3 linked regions of the Macaca mulatta genome follow. The protein of the gene in region 3 purifies or fractionates together with the protein of the main gene of each other region. This does not show direct contact. Links are inferred from orthologs where the notes say so. Each region holds a gene or a part of one and is shown on either strand. Other genes may lie near its edges.

Region 1 (2,928 bases), on a different chromosome or scaffold from region 3:
GTATGTAGCTGTTTACAAGCACAGCAGTAAACTTGATCCATATGTAATCCATTTCTCTTTGCTCTGTTGATTGCTCCTAAGTCCTGCAAATTCTCGGGGGATTTAAATAAGAAATTGTGTATAGATCAACATTAGGAAAAAATTCAGTTTGCATGCTTTGGTGATAAGATGACAGGCAAAGCATTCTGATGTGTTACTCAGATTAACACTGTCTTTAATGGGATTTAAACAGTTTTCTGAATAGGACACTTCCGAAAATGCCTTCTGATTTCTCTCCATTGCTCCCAACAGGTGTGTGATCTGTATGATGGACTTTGTTTATGGGGACCCAATTCGATTTCTGCCGTGCATGCACATCTATCACCTGGACTGTATAGATGACTGGTTGATGAGATCCTTCACGTGCCCCTCCTGCATGGAGCCAGTTGATGCAGCACTGCTTTCATCCTATGAGACTAATTGAGCCAGGGTCTCTCATCTGACTTCAAGTGAACCACCATTTTGGTGGTTTTGATCTTTTGTCACTGAGCCCAAAGAGCCAGGGATTAGGAATTAAGATCATGCACAAAAGTTTCCTTAAAATTCCTGGATGGCTGCAGATGTTGGGGGAAAAGTACGTGATATTTTAGAAACTTAGTGGGAAAAGTAGGATGGTATTTTTATGTAAAGCCTTGACCCAATGTTTAAAAATATAATTGTATTTAGATCTTGTTATTGCTCCAGTACATAGGAATTGTGTAAAGTGTTACAGCAGCTGTATTTGTTTAAATTGTGTGTATTGAAGATTAGGAAAAAGATAGTAGTTATTTTTCCTAAATGAAATAACTTTCTTCTCTTCCCCTTCCCCACCCAAATTCTTTTCTGAAGTTGCTGACATTTGGGTCAAGGTTTTATTAAAAGCTACATTTTATAACACTGGCACACACAAAAAAGTAGTTTTAAGCTTGTTTGCACAGTTCTTTTTTTCCATTGGAAATGGAATTCATTGCCTTAGGTCTTTTTAAATAGTGTATTATTATCGTTGGGGCTGGCTCTATGCTTGAAAACCAGTTTATTTATAACCTGTTATAAGTGCTATATTCTGTTTGCAGTTAGGAAATGCAGAATTCAAAGTGATCTCCTAGCTTGTAAGCAAACTGAGATGCACTATCCCTTTTCTATAAAAAATAAGTTAATGTGTCAAGAAACCAACTCTATTAAAGTGGGGTTTAATATTGCCCTTTCCTATGTGTTTTATCTAATTATTTTGGTTGTTAATATGGTGATAATGGAAAGTCAAGTTAAATTTTAAATATTAAGAATTCTGATTTATTGAGATTGAATTATGCCACCACGTTTATGTAAAAATGAAGGTGGCACCTTGGTGAGACCTAATGAGAAATAATTACTCAGTTGTAACAATTTTGATTTATTTTCTTTCTTCTGACCTCCTTCCCTCTTGTCTTGAACCATAGCAAAAGGATACTGCATCTCTCATTACTGTAGTGCTGAGGTTATTGAAGTTATATAAAACACATCTCAGTCTCTGTTTCTTGGAAAGGTATCTATTACATCCTGCTAGCTGACTGACAAAACTAAGCAGGGAGAATAAAGATAATTGTATTTTATGTTTTGCACACAAACACAGAATTTGTATAACCATATGACTTCATAGTTGTGATCTCAAAAAAGAAGGAATTTCTCCTTTGTTTCTTGCAGTTAATGTAAGAATACTTTAAATCTCTAAGCTTCTGAAGTGTTAGAGGTAGAGATGGTCTAGTAAAGATGTAGTAGTAATGTTTTATCCATTTAGCATGTGTTTATTTTTTCATATGTACTCAAAGGTGACTTATTGGTTCACCTCAGTGATATTACATACAGCTAAAAAAAATCATTCATTAGCAAAAGGAAAAGTGGTCTCAACCTAACATCAGAAGTGTTTCTTATTATTATTTTATATTGGGTTGAATATTGAACTCTAACACTTTTCTACATACAAAACACTGTCATGAAGGTTATGCATAATTGCATTATAGAGGAATGTAGTATGTCATAAGTACTTTGTAAAGATTTGACATTCAACTGTAGTATCCATATGTTGCTTAAATTTCTTTATGAGCCCCATGATGGAAAGACTTAAAGATGAATTTGAGAAAAATTGAAGAAATTAGATGATCAGGTTCTGTTAAATTGTTACATGTATCTTGCTTAAATTTCTGTTTATTAATTTATATCCACCCAATTACATAAAGCAGATTTGGAGGAAACAACTGAGGTTGTGCAATATTTTCTGTGATAATTGCTTTTTTATTCTTGTGTTTTCTACTTAAACATGATGTCTGTCATCAAGTATTATAGTCAGACTTTCTTTTTTTCTAGATTGTTAAAATTGGTAAATGAACTTTTTTTAAAATCATCTTCCATGTTGCAGTTAGTCTTTCTTTTCAATACAAGTCTTTCACAGAAGTTTGGAGGTAATACTGAAGGAACTAGCATTGGGCAGAATGTGTCATTTTTAGGCACTTTGTATTCTCAACATGCAATGTTAAGAACCATCAATTTTGACTTTTACTAAGTTGTTAAATAAAGTTATAATACAGCTGTGAAGGGCTAAAGTTAGAGTTGATTACGTAAGTATTCCCCATATCTTTTAAAAGAGTTGTGTATAATTATTTTAAAATACCTCTCTCTCTCTCTCTTTCTCTCTCTCTCTATATATATATACACACACACCTGTGGGAAGTATTTTTTATTGTTTGGCATTTAATATCATTTAATCATGTACTTAGGCTTGATAGCACCAAAGTTTCTAAAACCAAACAATAGCTGTAATCTCTTGATTTAGATATGGGCTAGATATGTTCAAGCTTGGCTGTGGGATTTGAAATTTCTGAAAAGCTTAACCAGGAAGAAACAAAAGAATCTTATCCTTTTGAATGCAAAACCCAA
Region 2 (3,566 bases), on a different chromosome or scaffold from region 3:
CCAGAAACTCACAGATTGTTTGGATACCTGAGACTAAGCCAAGAGAGTTTACACTTTTATTCTTATTTTATAATATCCTTTCTACTCTGAAGAACAGAGGCCTGATCCCCTTGCTAGGAGAGAAAGCTATTTCTTCCCAAGAACAGACTGAGTGTCATGTGCCCAGCCCTTATGTGGCTTGTTTCCTTCCCCTCAGCCCTGCCCTCACTGCAGTGCTCTACGACCTGAGTCGTCAGATTCCACAGCTAAAGAAGGACATTCAAGATGGGCTACTGAAAATGCTGTCCCTGGTCCTTATGCACAAACCACTCCGCCACCCAGGCATGCCCAAGGGCCTGGCCCATCAGCTGGCCTCTCCTGGCCTCACAACCCTCCCTGAGGCCAGCGATGTGGGCAGCATCACTCTTGCCCTCCGAACGCTTGGCAGCTTTGAATTTGAAGGTAAGAAATTACAATGTCTCTTGGCAAGGTAGTGAGAGCTGCTGGAAACTTTGGGAAAGGAATGAAAGTATCTAGACTTCCTGGATCTTGCTGTGATCCCAGAGACAGGGTAGCTGATTCTGTAGCAGCTCATCCTTCCTAGACTCTTTCCATATATTGGTAATTCCTGTTTGTTTCTTTGTCCCATACTGAGTTTGGGGGCAGATCGTTTGAGGGAAAGTATACGTTGATCCAAGGAAATAATGCTGCAGAGACAGATCCCCCTCATGTCCCCACTTTTTCACCTCCTTGTAGCTGAGATGATATGTAATGCTTTAAAATGTATAAGCAGGGGCTTTTGGGTGTTTCCATGTCTATGGTGGTATGGTGTCTTTTCTCTTTTTTTTTTTTTTTTGAGACAAAGTCTCTCTGTTGCCTAGGCTGGTGTGCAGTGGCACAATATCAGCTCACTGCATCCTCCATCTCCTGAGTTCAAGCGATTCTCCAGCCACAGCCTCCTGAGTAGCTGGGACTGTAGGTGCGTGTCACCATACCCAGCTAATTTTTGTATTTTTGGTAGAGATGGAGTTTCACCATGTTGGCCAGGCTGTTCTGGAACTCCTGACCTCAAGCGATCTGCCTGCCTCGGCTTCCCAAAGTGCTAGGATTACAACCATGAGCCACTGTGCCCGGCTGGCGGTATGATTTCTAAAAGTACTGTACTGTGTAGTTCTAAACTGCAAATAAACCCACAATAATACCCCACAGAGATATATTTCAGGAGGAGAAGTTGATACTTTTGAAATTTAAGATCATATAGGTAGTATTGGTCAAGACTGTAGAGAAACAAGCAAGTACAGAAAGCCTGAACATGCTGTCTGGAGACAGCCACCTGTGGTTTCTCTATTGTGGTTTCTCTATTTCTCTTTTGCCTTTCTGCTGATTGAAAGCCCCCTTGTTACCCTTTAAGAGTTCTGGGTCAGGCCGGGTGCGGTGGCTCACGCCTGTAATCCCAGCACTTTGGGAGGCCGAGGCGGGCGGATCACGAGGTCAGGAGATCGAGATCATCCTGGCTAACATGGTGAAACCCTGTCTCTACTAAAAATACAAAAAGAAAAGAAAAAAAAAATTAGCCGGGCATGGTGGTGGGCGCCTGTAATCCCAGCTACTCGGGAGGCTGAGGCAGGAGAATGGCGTGAACCCGGGAGGTGGAGCTTGCAGTGAGCGGAGATCGTGCCACTGCACTCCAGCCTGGGTGACAGAGCGAGACTCCGTCTCAAAAAAAAAAAAAAAAAAAAAAGGAGTTCTGAGTCAGTATCTTATTGATCAATATCTGGTTGAAAGTAGAATTAGTAGCCTCAAAATGGAAAATTCAGCTAGCAAGCTGCAGACCTACCTGTCTGCAGCAGCAGTGTTTATTCTGTTTTCTCTCTGCCTTTCTATCCAGGCCACTCTCTGACCCAATTTGTTCGCCACTGTGCGGATCATTTTCTAAACAGTGAGCACAAGGAGATCCGCATGGAGGCTGCCCGTACCTGTTCCCGCCTGCTCACGCCCTCCATCCACCTCATCAGTGGCCATGCTCATGTGGTTAGCCAGACTGCAGTGCAAGTGGTGGCAGACGTGCTTAGCAAACTGCTCGTGGTTGGGATAACAGATCCTGGTAAGGCTTCCCAGACAGAAGCAATCTAGGGGAGTTAAGGAGCTTAGGGCAGTTGCGAGTAGCCAGTTTCATTACGTAATGAAAGGCCTCTCTAGAGATCTTCGGCCTCAACAAGCTGATATTCAGCTATTTCTCTGCCAAGGCGTGTTAGGCGCAGCTACTCTAGCCTCTTAGTGTAAGATAATCTGCCTTTAATTCTTTGTCTTTACTCCTATGAGTAGAGAAAAGAGTAACAGAGGTTAGATGAGAGAAAGCATCTGGAATCTTCCCACTACGCTGATGGCAGTGGAGGTGGAAGCTGGGAAGGGCTAAAGTGATGGGGTCATGAAGAAATGTTCAAAGGCTCCATTGCTCTTGCAGACCCTGACATTCGCTATTGTGTCTTGGCATCCCTGGACGAGCGCTTTGATGCACACCTGGCCCAGGCGGAGAACTTGCAGGCCTTGTTTGTGGCTCTGAATGACCAGGTGTTTGAGATCCGGGAGCTGGCCATCTGCACTGTGGGCCGACTCAGTAGCATGAACCCGGCGTTTGTCATGCCTTTCCTGCGCAAGATGCTCATCCAGGTAACCGGGATGATGGCCAGACCCACAGGCAGGGAAGACAGGACTCTCACTTTGAGAGCTGCTTGAGGAAGCGGAGTTGAGGACAAGGATTGGGGAGAAAGATTGAGGTACCTGGTAAAAGCCACATTTGTCTGCAAGGGTCCACGTTTCCCTGGCTTTATAATGGCAGTTCCAGTGCTCATCACCTCATGAGCCCTTTGTCAATATGACTCCAAGGTGGTTCGGAGTCCTCTCATGTAGTTCTTTCTTTTTCCTGGCAAGTCGCCAGTGATCCCATTTCTTGGCCCTCTTTGCTTGCTGGATTGATCTGCTGCAGATGGTGTCAGACTTCCCAGCGCCTCCCTATCCTTCCACTCTCCTGCTTTTCTTGCTGGTGCCAGGTCAAGCATGGAAGCCATTGTTCTTCACAAAAATAACCAATGTGAGACCGTTTCCACCATTTATTCTGATAGTCATTGCCCCAGTCTGTGATCCTGGCTTTTGTTCTTAAATAATATGAGAATGCCAAACTCAGTTGCTTGGTCTGTAGCCTAAGGTAGAATTCCTCTTGAGATATGGCTCCTCAGTTTTTGTCTTCACCTACCTGAGTAAGTTCTGTGGCCTCCTGGTGAGCAATACATGGTCCAGTCCTGCCTGGCAAAGTTATTTCCAGCTGCCTCTTCTGGGTCTCTATGTGGTTCACCCATTCATTTCCTGTCCCCATTGCTCGCTGTCTGCTTCCTGACCCTCCCTCATGCTTTGTTTTGAAGTAAACACTTTTTGTAATATATAAGGAACTTAAACATAGAAAATCATTAATATATGTAACTCACTCTAGAGAAATGTTGTTTGTTCACAATTTGTTGTAAAGTGGCTGTAAATTATATCATCAATCAACAAATTAGGAAGCTGTACTTACGTTGGCACTTCTGTTTTTA
Region 3 (4,355 bases):
TTTAATCCTGGCACTTTGGGAGGTCTAGGTGGGAGGATCACTTGAGCTCATGAATTTGAGATTAGGCTGGGCAACATAGTGAGACCCAGGTCTCTACGAAAACAAAAAATGAAAAACCACAAAATAATAATAGAACAATAAATTCTATACTTCTAAGAACAGATATTGGAGCTCAATCATTTTAACTCAACTGCCAATGAAATTTTATCATCACCCTCCAGGTACCAACACAGGGGCATGTCTGCCTGGCTTTTCACCCTGAAATCTTTAAGCATAATCAACTAGTAGAAGGAATGAAAGTCTAGAAGCAGACAAGGAAAGAAGTTTCCACCAGGAAGCCACTCTGGCAAATGAAGGAGGAAAGGCGGCAAAGACCAGCATCTACAACCCATGCCAACAGTGCAGGATGATGCAAATTTACATGATGTGGGATCTCTCCAGTATGGAACAGTGTAAAAAGCCAGCTCGGATTCACTAGCCCTTAGTAGGGTGTCTGGTCACAATTCCTAATTTCCAAGAAGATGAAGAAGTTTTCAGAGCACAAAGACATTCCCTAGGAAATTTCGCAGTGATTGTTAATTCCATTCCTGCCGCATCCTATTTGCCAGGGCAACTCTCCAGTTAATAAAAATGTTAAACCTATGGAAGAGGGAGGAGAAGAAATCTAGATTTTAGGGTAGCTACTCCTGCGTGGGTCTAGACTCTCTTAACACCATTAATAAGGTGGTCTAAATTCTTGTGGCCCACTCACAGGGGAGAGGTTGGACTAGATGACCCATGGTTTCTCCTGAGGAGTTTTCTGGTGATAGTTTTAGATTAGGATTCTTAATCTGATTGCTGGGAAAGGCATAGTGGGAGTCATTCTCTGGATCAGATGGTGCTCTCTTTTGATGTCAGACGTCCTCTACAGGTGGAATTGGGCAAAACCATAACAGGACAAAAATAACACATACACCTTTCCTTTGTGGCACAGCAAAAGTCTCTCTCACGATATCATCCATCCATCCATCCATCCACCCACCCACCCACCCATCCACCCAACAAGCACTACCTGACCACTACTGAAGGCCAATCACCATGCTTGATGATGGGATTAAAAGTCAAAGATGACCTTATTCCCTTCCTTGAAATCACACTACCAACTTAGTCTGCAGCTAAGGCAACGGAGTTACAGGTACTGCTCAGATCCCACAGCCATTCAGGGGCGAAGTTTTGCCTAGGAGCCAGGTCTTTCAATACCTGCCCCTTGCAATCCCACAACACCAAACCTGTGGCTACAGTGCCTGCCACAATCAGATGGAAAGAGATGGGCAATAGGAAGATTTTAAACAAATGAGGTGTTATCTCTTTTTGCTTGTCTGACCCTTTTTTCTCTTCTGAATCTAAAGATTTTTCACCAAAGATCTAAAATAGTGAGAGCTGTAAACCATATGCAAGACATGCAAATGTCAATATTGGATACCCCAGTGTGATCTCATTGGTAGGTTTAGCCTTGCACAGCCTGTAAAACTGCCTCCTTAGAAATCAAAACCCACTGTCCAAGTTTCCAGTTCTTGGATCTCTCTACACTTAAGATTAAAGAATAAATGTTTCAGATACATTATAAAGTGGCAAACAATGCAATATTACCCTTAACTTTTTTTTTTTCTTAACATTTGTTACCTCTCTGTCTTATTTAAAGGTAATTTCTCAACTTTTGTCACTAGGATTCTACAGAACTTCTCCATTGCTCAAACTCTTCTCCCCCTTGTTTTATTTTTCCACTCTGGGCAGATATTTTTGTCTGCGTTGTGGAAATTGATGAATTATTTATCAACAAATACCTCATCCAAATTTGGGGATGTGCCTATCAAAAATAGTACTAAGAATTGAAAAAAAAAAAAAAATCAAAGCAGCACCTTAAACAATGAGAATGAAGCATTCATTGGCTGCTCAATAATCCAGTACATTAAGGTTGCGGGTCCAGAAGCCCCTTTAATTAACAATGGTTCCACCAAAATGCTGCCCTGAGACACTTGACCAGACTGGCTTTCCAAGGCAAGAAGATCTGAGGCGAGGAGAACTGAAAACAAAGCGGGTTCAAAAAGAGTTAAGCTCCTTCCTTACTTAATGCCACTGCTTTCCTGAGAGGCCAGGTGGCAGGATGTGGGACGACTCCGGCTGACAAAGACAGTCTAACCGTGGGGTAGGGGCTGGAGCAGGCGCCAGCGACCCATGTCTACATGCATACTTCTCTTACACTGCTGCAGCTGGAAAAGCTAGACCCTGCGCCAGGACCCCAGCCCTGTGCACGGACCCCTGAGCGTCTGGGAAGCTGTCTCTGGGACTGAAGCCCCCCACCTCCGCCGGGCTGGCGGCCACTGCGGTACCCTACTCCCCGTCGGGCTGGCCCTGCACAATTTGGGAAAAAGCCGCAGCGCTTCTGCAAGGTCTACGTGGCCAGGAGCATGCAACGCTTGGCTCCCAAAAAGACACGAAAGGAGCAAAGCATCAACGACCACCCGATCAGAGGGCCCGAGGGGCGCCTCTTCACCAGTCAGCTGCAGCTTAAGTTCCGTGCATTATCCGAAAGGAACAGCTGGCTGGAGGTATCCAGGGCTGTCACTCCAACCTCTGAAGCGGTGACCTCAACTCCCAGCACTTCAAAACCCAGACAGAAACAAACGTCCAACAAACTCCCACTCCAGGAGCGCTGCAAAACCAACGCCAGGTAGACGGAGCCAGCCCGGGGGTCGCTGCCCAACATGCATCCGCAGCCCTAGGCTGCGGTGAGCCCGAGGCAGACGGCACTGGGAGGCGCAGTGGTTACCTCTCCGGGCCCCGCGATCCTTTCGCAAAGTCCCAAGTCCGGGTCAAAGCAGGAGCGCCCAGCAGGCGGAGGTCGGGGCCGGGACCGGGCGGAGGCGACGCTCCATGGACGCCCGGGGTCGGGCTCGCTCGCTGGCAGGGTCGGCCGGGGGTGTGATCTCTCTTGGCGGCCGCTATCGCCGCTCCGCCCCCGCGGGCTCCAAGTTCGCTTGGCCCGCCACGAAGACTGCAGACTGCGCAGTCTGCTTTTCCCCGTTTCAGTTGTATGCGGGTCTAGGCCCGGGGATTTCCACGGTACTTTCCAAAGTCACGTGACTCTCTGGGTAGGGCTGCGAATTGCGTCCCGCCGGCCGCCAGAGGGCGCAGGGGGCGAGGGGCTTTCGCGGCCTCCGCGCCCCGACCCGCCCCCTTTCCCTGCCCCGCCCCGCTGCCTCGCCCCGCCCAGTCCCCGCGGGCCCAGGGAGAAACTCCCTCGCCCCGCCCCGGGGTGTCCCCGCGTGAGTCACCTGGGCATTTCGGAAGCTGGGGTCACGTCACATCCATGTGGAAATCGCGGTGATGGGAACTGGAAATGAAATAGGTTCTTTTTCGCAGTTGTTTTTCTGCAGAAAATCATCAACTGTGGAGAAGAAGAAGGGAAATAAGAAAAAAAGAAAACCCTAAAAACCACCCTGGCGTCCGGGCCCGCAGGCCTCGGGCTGGCTCTGAAAAGTTTGGGCTGTGCACGTGATAAGCGCGTAGGCGGGAGCCCCAGACAGGACCCGGGCGGGAATTTCGAGAAAAAGCAGCAGTGACAGCCTTTGGTCCCCATCTCCATTGTTCCTGCCAGCTCTGGACCCCAGGCTGCATGAGACGTAGGTCCCAGGGAACACCCGACCCCGTGGCCCCAATCTTAGGTAAACTTAGGAATCAGAACAACATTCACCCCTATGCCACCCTTGCTCCATTTCCCCTTCTCTATTTCTGCTCACCAAGCATCCAGCTGACATTGCATTCAAGCAGCATTTCAGCTTAGAAATCGCTTCTAGTCCATCACCGTGCTTGCCATGTGTCTCCAAGGCTTTATTAGGTGTGTTTTTAGTTGTCCTGATTATCAGTTCACCCCAGGGTGCTGATGGCTGATAATACTGGCGCTCCCTTCCCCACCCCCATGCGTTGCATAGGGAGAGTGAGTCATGTGGAGATGGGTGCAGTCCCTTGGGCAGTGGGGGTGCAGGTCCTGTGCAGGGAGGAGGCTTAGGGTGCTTTTACTGTCTTACTGCCCTCTAAGCACGGGACCCTTTGGATCATTTACTAGATTGGCTAAACTAGAACCAGTTGGAAATATTCTGTACTGTGGTCCCTTTAATTACATTTAAGAATACTCGTCAGGCCATATATCACAGGTTTTTAATTAGAAAAGTATCCTCCTCTCGCCCGTAAGTACCTGCAGAGATGGGGATGCGAGCTGGGTGGAGGATGGCACTGTTTTGGCAAAAAGAAGTTTAGAGCAGGCCGGGCGCGGTGGCTCACGCCTGTAATCCCAACACTTTGGGAGGCCGAGGCGA

Evidence for each region. Proteins that work in one complex are often made in the same cells at the same time.
Region 1: the proteins of TNFAIP3 (region 3) and RNF11 purify together in Homo sapiens (affinity purification with western blotting; 3 studies listed by BioGRID and IntAct, with this or other methods). This does not show direct contact. The link is inferred for Macaca mulatta from reciprocal best matches to the Homo sapiens genes TNFAIP3 and RNF11.
Region 2: the proteins of TNFAIP3 (region 3) and MTOR purify together in Homo sapiens (affinity purification with western blotting, with the first as the bait; 3 studies listed by BioGRID). This does not show direct contact. The link is inferred for Macaca mulatta from reciprocal best matches to the Homo sapiens genes TNFAIP3 and MTOR.

What each region holds. Positions count from the first base shown.
Region 1 is NC_133406.1:189,391,204-189,394,131, reverse strand, and holds the end of RNF11 (RING finger protein 11), read left to right. Parts: intron 1-291; coding exon 292-463; 3' UTR 464-2,388; downstream 2,389-2,928. UniProt on the Homo sapiens protein: Essential component of a ubiquitin-editing protein complex, comprising also TNFAIP3, ITCH and TAX1BP1, that ensures the transient nature of inflammatory signaling pathways. Promotes the association of TNFAIP3 to RIPK1 after TNF stimulation.
Region 2 is NC_133406.1:229,491,511-229,495,076, forward strand, and holds part of MTOR (serine/threonine-protein kinase mTOR), read left to right. Parts: intron 1-196; coding exon 197-441; intron 442-1,867; coding exon 1,868-2,083; intron 2,084-2,443; coding exon 2,444-2,649; intron 2,650-3,566. UniProt on the Homo sapiens protein: Serine/threonine protein kinase which is a central regulator of cellular metabolism, growth and survival in response to hormones, growth factors, nutrients, energy and stress signals.
Region 3 is NC_133409.1:42,959,778-42,964,132, reverse strand, and holds the start of TNFAIP3 (tumor necrosis factor alpha-induced protein 3), read right to left. Parts: upstream 2,863-4,355; 5' UTR 2,810-2,862; exon of another isoform or gene 1,950-2,809; coding exon of another isoform or gene 1,899-1,949; intron 978-1,898; exon of another isoform or gene 752-977; intron 1-751. UniProt on the Homo sapiens protein: Ubiquitin-editing enzyme that contains both ubiquitin ligase and deubiquitinase activities.